2 linked regions of the Oryctolagus cuniculus genome follow. Each later gene encodes a partner of the first gene's protein in a complex. Links are inferred from orthologs where the notes say so. Each region holds a gene or a part of one and is shown on either strand. Other genes may lie near its edges. The genes, in order: XIRP2 and NEBL.

Region 1 (4,544 bases):
AATTTCCATGATTATCATTAACAAGTATATGCAAATACAAGAATGAAGTTGATTGCCATTTGAAGGGTAAGTCTCCTCATAAATTAAATTGAATTATTGATATTTTAGATCTAGTACAATTGTCTCATGTACAAGGCAAGGTAAAATAATATTGTACTAAGTATATTAGGCTCATGTAATAATGTAATGATTATTTTAGATATATATAAAATCCAATTTAATCTTGAGAACAATTTAAAATTGGCAAACTCCATCCTACTTCATCACCGATGAAGACAGCTAAGCTTAGATAACATTTGAAACTTGCCGAAGTTATGGAACACAGCTAGTGGTGAAGCTGTGCTGAAATACTGTCTCCATTATCTGTTAGAAGCTTCTGAAATGATTTCAATGTTCTATATTTGTATTGTCTACTACATAGCCAGTACCCAGTTTCTACAGATTGAGTACTTAAAATGTGAGGAATACAACTGAGGGACTGAATTTTTTATTTAATTTTAATCAATTAAAAATTAAATGGTCCCATATGCCTATTAGCTACTCTCCTGGTATGCACAATTATAAATAATTAGACTCTACCAGCACCTGTCCCAGGAAAATTTTATGGAGTATACAAAAAAAATTCTCAGAAGTTTTTTCTTATAATTAATAAATTGGCATATTACTCCTCAACCTATGATTAAAGAGAAACTAAAATTGTGTATGAAAAAAATGTAATGTATAAGCTGATTTTTGTTCAAAATAATATGATAGCTAGTTTACTGGTAAACATGTTGCAAATGAAGTGGAGCATATATAATTCCAGCGCTTTCTCAAAGTGGAAGGGCAGTTCCCTCTTTATTTGGGTTTACTGGTAGACCTGTTGGATACACACTGAACACCATATTAGAAAATAATAGGAGCCTAAAAAGATAGGGGAAGCTGACTGTAGTTTATATTTACTTAGAATATATTAGTTGTTGGCATTATGGAGCTCATGCAACAGTTCCCCTATTTTCTTCTTGGTTAGGTTGACAGGGTGTGCTGAGTCAGTAAGGTAGCTGCAAAGGACATTTAATATGATTTGCTCAGGAGCATGTGAGGTGACTTCTCTTCCGTGTCTGCTCTTCTTCATGCCAAATGATTTTCAACTAACATAAACAGACAGGAATTCCACAGTAAGTGTTCCCTTAATTCTTTCTAGAATGCTGTCTCACCCCTCTTCCTTTTTTTTTTTTTTTTTTTTTTTTTTTACCAAAAGAAAACTTACTTCATAAACACTGGAGTAGTGTTTTGCTCTATATGTGACACCTCAAGGGAAAAAAAAAAAAAAAACACAACTAGTGTTTAGCTAAGAACATTTTGTGCAATAAAAACATTTCCACTTCCTCAGAATGCATATGAACAAGTCCACCAAAATAAATTAGAACATTTCCTAACTGCACTATTTTCATATTCCTAGTTCTTAAAATATTGAAATTATTTCTTTTAATACAAGTCATCCAAAGACTTTCCTCCCCCCTTTACGCTGGTTACTTTCCAGACTTCGTTGAGAATTTCTGAGTTGGCCTCTATCCATGGCTACAGGAGGAAGTTTGATGGACTGCACATGTGTTAGAGCCGTGCATACATTAGTGAGGTCACTGTGAGGCAGCCTGCTCTACGAGGCACAGTTCTGGAAAGAGTGGTTGACTCAGGCCCCACCTATACAGAGCTCAGTTCCTAAAAATAGGGACACGTTGCATCCTTTAGTTGCATGGCTAAAATAAATTCAGCCGTCCCTTCTAGTTGCTTGATAGACCCTTCAGTGGAGCTGGCCTCCACTCCACCGATTCCTTTCAGGGGACTGGGAAATTGCTGTACACGAAACAAGGGAGGAAAGTATTGAGTGAAGACTATAAAGACATAGGAGATATCAGCGAACTTTCGGTTGAGTCTAAACATTACGGAAGGTACGTGTAAAATAGTCATTGATACACATCTTCTTCCAGGTTTGTAAATGCTCTGTCTAGGTACTGAAGATCAATGAAGACCATATAGGTCAAATTATAATCACTGTAAATGAAAATATTCACCTGGATTTGGTTTTATGATAATACTTAGCACTGCCTTATGTTCCGAAATTGATGGCTTCATACATAAGACTCTTTGCAAATTAGCATTTTTTGTATTTAATATTGAATGATAATGAGCCAAAATTGATAAACTCATATGGGTTAAAAATACAGCACAACGTTTAGCAAAAACTTTAGTTTGTCCTTTATGAGCATAAATTGAATGAATATATTAAACTATTTCTTGGACTTTGGTGAGGGAACGGAAGAGATTAAATATTTTCAACTGTTGCAGCTTGCTCAGAGAAATGTATGAAAATTATTCTTTCCGAGCCATGTTTGATTTTTAAGTCCTTGCTCCAGCCATACTCTTATGTCCACTGAGAGTATTACTGGAGTAAGGATTAAAGAATCAGGTTCTTACATGTTTTGCAGAATTAACAAAAGCATTGCCAGTTGGATCTGCCAGCCCTAATTATAGTAGCTACAAACTTAAACAGAGAAGACTGAGATTGTACTTTAAAAGTATCATGCCCTGTGTTGTTTCAAATGGATTTTTTCTGTTTTCAATTGCCTGTGATTTACCTTAATTTGGTCCTGTTGTACTTTAAGTGTTTAGGTGTTAAAGAGTGAAGTGATTTGGGAGAGACATTCTAAGGGAACTTCTTAAGACACCAACTAAAAGCAAGGACACTTTAAGATTGCATAATACAGAGTTTAAATTTAGCCAGCTGGTGCTGAAATGAAAGATATTTTATTTTTACCATAGCTCTATTTGGTCACTGACGAGCTGTAGGTTGTTTGAATTATTTTAAAATTTTATGTGCAAGGTGCCAAAGGGGACGTAAAATATTTACTTCAACTACATTCAAGACCATGAATTTTAACATGGCAGACCTCCCATTTTGAGTTTTAGAAGATATTATTATTGAGTGGCGAAAATATTGGATCAGAAATCAGAAAATCCTGAATTCCATGCTCTAATATTTCCCTGCTCCTATGCCTAATATTGTAATATTTTTCCTTCTTGCTGTCAACATGTAAACTACCAACTAGACCCATTTTTAAAAGCCAGCCAGCATTTCGGATGTCTGCAATATGGCAAAGTGCCAGCTGTTTGGGGAAAATGTAGTCCACGGTTTGCACTGAATGCTTCTGCTTTCATCTGGTGTGGGCATCTTTAAGAAACAGCTTCTCCCAAACACCTGCAAAATAGAAGCAGACATTCTTTCATGATCACAGAGGGCTTTGCTGCAGAAAACACTCGTGTACACATGTCAGCCCACGCCTGGTGTCTTCTGTGATTACAGAGGACAGGAGAATGTCGCCTTTCCTCAGGTTTACTTTTGGGTAGGAAGCCCGCTGAGGTCACGGATAATTTACCATTGTTTACAGTTGATAAATGCCTGTTATTCTATCAGTTCCAGCATTCTGCCTCTCACATCACAGCCACTACATTTGAAAACCTCTGTGCACAGCATTCTCTTTACTTTCTTGGTAAAATTGTACTTATGATGAGATAATTTGGGGTTGCACTCTTTTTATAACTTCAATACTTGGAACTGATTTATTCTCCCTCTCCATTCCCCCATCTTCCCTCTCCTCTCCCCTCCTTCTCCCTTCTCCCTCCCCTCCCTCTCCCCCCTCCTTCTTCCCCAATCAATCCTTCAACTCTGGGTATTAAGAGAAACTATTTTGGAAGGTCTGTTTGATAACCAGGACTCATGTCTAGGTTTGGTAATTTATAGAGCAGGAGTTTACACTTAATAAGTGTCTGGCTATGTAATTCTGAGAGTGTTGATTGAATAGTTGTAGGGGGACAGAACTTAATTGACATTATTTGTCCTTTTTATTTGCTTCCCATCTCCTCTTTGGGAATCATTAAAGTTACACTTTGAAATTTAATTAAATTGTAATTTGTTTTTTCCTACTTCTGAAACAAACACTTGCTCATTCAAATCACAAATTCATCCCTATCCCTTGTAGAGTGGTGAGTAATTTCAGACTTTTTCAAATTCTTTATAAAGGTTTTTTTTTTTAATTTTTAGTTTTTAGCAGTTTCAGTATAGTTCATAGAGACAATAACACTGATTTATGCCATGAAAGTGTATCATCTTTTTAGAACTGTGTAGTATGTTGTATTGTCTGTTTCCTGACACTAAATATATCTTTTTCCCACACTGCCAATTCTCCAATACCAACTGGAGATCTTACAATTCAATTTTGCACTAAACAAAGACCCTAATTCTTGGACTTAACAAAAATCCCACAGATTAAGGGCTCAGTCCCACAGGACTGTCCCCACTTCAGATATCAACTGAAACTGGAACACTCAGGTTACCACTCTCTTCCAGCTCTCTACTGCTTCAGAGGTTCCCACAAACCTCTCCCCAGGCCCAGGAGTTCGCTAGAGAGGTTCACAGAACACAGGAAAGTATTGTGCTTACTGTCACTAGTACACTATAAAGGGTACAACTCAGAACAGCCAAATGGGAGCGAGGCATATGGCAA
Region 2 (3,825 bases), on another chromosome or scaffold:
CTTCCTACATATCTTTCTGTGTCTTTCAGCATCTGCCCTTTCCTAACACAAAGAAAACAAAAAGTGCTCTGCAGAAAGACAGAGTGACCACAAGACAGACACAGGAGGACAGAACCCCTTGACGTGTGGGCGCCATTGTGGGTGGGAGAGTACAGTATGACAGGTGCTTTCCTCCACAAGCTAGAAATCCAGACTACTGCGGACTTGTTGGAGTCCTGGGCAAAACAGCCTCTTCCCCTGATCCAGTCAGTGAGATTTTCCCTTTCTGAGCATAGCCTGACCCTCTCCCCAGAGCCCCCGAGGCTCCTGACCAGCACACCTTGAGAGCCAGAGCTTGCCAAGTAATTAGGAATTGGAAAATATTCCAGAAGTCCTCAAACTTAATAGTTCATACATTTTGATGACACATTTGCTTAACTACTAAATAACTCAGATAATTCTCCATTACTATATTGACTGTGTAGCCAACTTTTTTATGATTTTTAGAAGAGAATTCAAGTTTACACATCCACTAATCATAGGCTCAGTCTCTTAATTAATGATGCTGATGAGATTTCTACTCTGCAAAACAAAAATACAAACTTTTAGGAATTGGCTATGAACTAGTAATCCCTAGATATACTATGCATGTAAATAAGCAATTATCGGGAAAGAAATTACTTCATATGACTACTGTCATCTTCAGAGAAAAATCTGGTAGAAGATTGGGATTTCTTTCCTGATCTCGAGTTGGGTGTTTGGCCAAGTGGCTAAGATGACCACATCTGACATGGTAGCCCCTGAGTTCAATTTCCTCCTCCAGCTCCTGACTCCAGTTTACTACTAATAGAGACCATGGGAGACAGCAGTGATAGCTCAAGTAATCGGGTTTCTGACACCCACATGGGAGACCTGGATTTCATTCCTGGCTCCCAGCTCTGGCTTTGGCTTCAGTCCAGCCCCAATCATTGTGGGTATTAGAGGAGTGAACCACTAGCTGGGAGCTAGTTCCCTCTCTTTTTCTAACTCTGTGCCTCTCAAATAAATAATGTTTTTAAAAAGATTATTTCTTGAGTTCAATTTTTAAATTCAGTATCAAAAAGAGGAAAATGTGAACTTGTAATTATAAAGCAATCATGATAAATTATAACTTATGATAATATTTCATACTTTTATTTTGAATGCAAATAATCAATTCAACAGAAAATGCAAGTAATGCAATCAACAGTGAGACAGTGACAGTAAAGGCCATTGCTAACACAACATAAAATTTCAAAGAGTAATTGAAAAGAAATATAGATCGAATAACCCTAACCAAAAAAATCTGAAATTCATAATGCTCCAAAACATGAAAATTTTTGAGCACTAACATGATGCCCAAGTGGACAATTCCACACCTACACATGGAATTCTTGGGTCACAGTCAGATGGCAGGAACACTGAAAATATTGCATACAAGTACTTCCTGAAACTCACCGCACTAATATTTTGTTGAGTGGTCTTGATTCGCTGCATTTCAGGAGTATTTGCTGCAGTGGAATAATTAGAGAGCATTTTCTCCGCTTCATCTTTATACTTTTTCTAAAAGACACAAGCAGTCAATATGAAGCTGAAGCTCTGTGTGTATGTGTTATAAAACACACATACAGACAGAGAAAGATGCCACATCCTCCAAGTCTACCAAACTGCATGGCTCTAAATCATAGCTTTAAAAATACTTATTATATATTTCAAATTTTCCAAACAAAAATTGTGAGGTAGTAATACAAAGAGTTCCCATATAACAGCCTTCACCCCATTTCCCCTATTAACATCCCCTACTAGTATCTTGGTCACACATAATAAGCCACACTCAGGTTCACCTTATTTTATTAATACAAAAACCTTTTCTCCCTCCAAGTTTCCAGTAGTCAACACTTTGTGTTCAGACTGAGGTGTTTTTTGTTTTTTTAAATTTTAGCTCCCACATATAAGGGAGAACATGCAGTGTTTGTCTTTCTGTGTCTGGCTTATTTCACACAATATGATGTCCTCCAGTTCCATCCATTTTGCTGCAAATGACAGGATTCCATACTTATTTATGTAGCTGAACAACATCCCATAGTATATATATTTTTTCTTTATCCATTCACCTGATGATGGACACCTTGGTTGAGTCCATATTTTCACTGTTGTGAAGACTGCTGCTATAAACATGGTGGCACATGTGTCTCTTTGATACAAGGAGTTCCTGCCTTTTTGGTGTATTCCCAGTAGTGGGATTGCTGGATCACATAGCTCTTCCATTTCTAGTTTTTTTTTTTTTTTCATTCTTATTTTATTCCATTACTATTTTGTTCTGTTGGGATTCATTATTTCCCATGTATATTTTCCCATGTGTAAATTTACAGCAAGGATATTATCCACTAATGAATATCTTTGTCCAAGTTAGATTTTATAAATAACTTCTTCCTCCATATTTTCTTTTGTGACGACTATTTCTCTCATATGCAGTTTTTGTAGAGGGTATGTGACAAGTATACTTTACATTTTAAGAAAACATAGCTCTGCCCTTATTTTTAATTAAGATTAATTCTCATCTGATATGCAGGACAGTGTTGGCCACTATTGTTTCATGTAGAGAGAATTTTAATAATCATAAATCTTATGAAATAAAAAGTTAAAAGTCAAATCTTTGGAATAAATTTTTTCTGGAGTATCAGCAAGAGAAATTCAAGCCAAGTGTGCAATCTGTGGTCAAAATGTCCACGATTCAAAACAAGGGGTACCACAAACAGGAGGGACTCTGGCATTTCATAACACCCACTGAATTGAATCTACAACCACATTCCTTTTAGTTAGTAAGGTTAATCAAATTTGGCCCCCAGTTTGTTAACAACAGAGTGAACTAACTTTAAATGCCAACACCATCAAAAATATACAAATCATAGAAACACACCAAACGTGATGAGGGGACATTTGAATTGATCATCTTCACTCTACCAACCTGGCTATAGATTTCAGATGCCCTCTTGGCTCGAAGCATATCTGGGATGTCCATGCTCACTTGCATGCCTTTCCCCTTAATTTCATTTTCTAAGTCCTTCTTATATTGTTTCTAAAAAAGAGAAAATGATCTCAGAGCTCTGCTTAACTTTGATAGCAATTAAGACATTATGTGTCTGAATATGGATGCCAGCCATGTGAATAGTAACATTGATTCTTTCTAGACACAACCCAGTGTATCATTGTAAACTCTGTATCCCACTACCCCCTTACCTGGCTGGCCATCTGCGATGCTCTCTTAGCCCGCTGCACGTCAAGAGTGTCCGTGCTGACCTGCATTCCTTTCCCTTTGATCTCAGTCTCCAGGTCTCGTTTATAGTCTTTCTACAGAAAATGAAACACAGAGTGAGAGCTCTAAAACCATTAGGAAAACTGCACTGAAACTCTGTGACATGATGTTGCTATCAGGGCCATGTAATTTGCCATTAAGTTGTGCTTTTATTTCTTTAGCACAAGAAGGAAATTTTACTTGGGAAAGGAACATGACTTGGAATGATTTATTCACAAGTCAATGGGAGGTGTTTTTCTACTAATATGAATTAAGAACGGAAACAGCCAGTTGGTAGAAAATTTTGTATTTCCATTTGGTAAACTTGATAAAACTATTGGTTATTAACTAACTCAGTTGAAAATATCAACAAAATATATCTGTAAAAGTGCTGTTTTTTGCTCAAAATATATTTTTAAAGGTTTATTTATTTATTTAAAAGTCAGAGTTACACACACAGAGAAGGAGAGGCAGAGAGAGAGGGAGAGGAAGGGAGAGGGAGGGAGAGGGAGAGAAAGGGAGAGAAAGGGAGA

The links.
Region 2: the proteins of XIRP2 (region 1) and NEBL are in contact, whole or in part, in a crystal structure (PDB 4F14), measured with the Homo sapiens proteins. The link is inferred for Oryctolagus cuniculus from reciprocal best matches to the Homo sapiens genes XIRP2 and NEBL. Residues at the interface, in NP_689594.4 of Homo sapiens: Pro2420, Pro2421, Pro2422, Thr2423, Leu2424, Pro2425, Lys2426, Pro2427; in NP_006384.1 of Homo sapiens: Tyr963, Asp964, Tyr965, Asp969, Asp971, Glu972, Ile987, Asp988, Asp989, Gly990, Trp991, Met1004, Pro1006, Asn1008, Tyr1009.

What each region holds. Positions count from the first base shown.
Region 1 is NC_091434.1:74,105,739-74,110,282, reverse strand, and holds the start of XIRP2 (xin actin-binding repeat-containing protein 2), read left to right. Parts: upstream 1-1,602; 5' UTR 1,603-1,931; intron 1,932-4,544.
Region 2 is NC_091444.1:47,142,764-47,146,588, forward strand, and holds part of NEBL (nebulette), read right to left. Parts: intron 3,349-3,825; coding exon 3,238-3,348; intron 3,077-3,237; coding exon 2,966-3,076; intron 1,561-2,965; coding exon 1,456-1,560; intron 1-1,455. UniProt on the Homo sapiens protein: Binds to actin and plays an important role in the assembly of the Z-disk. May functionally link sarcomeric actin to the desmin intermediate filaments in the heart muscle sarcomeres.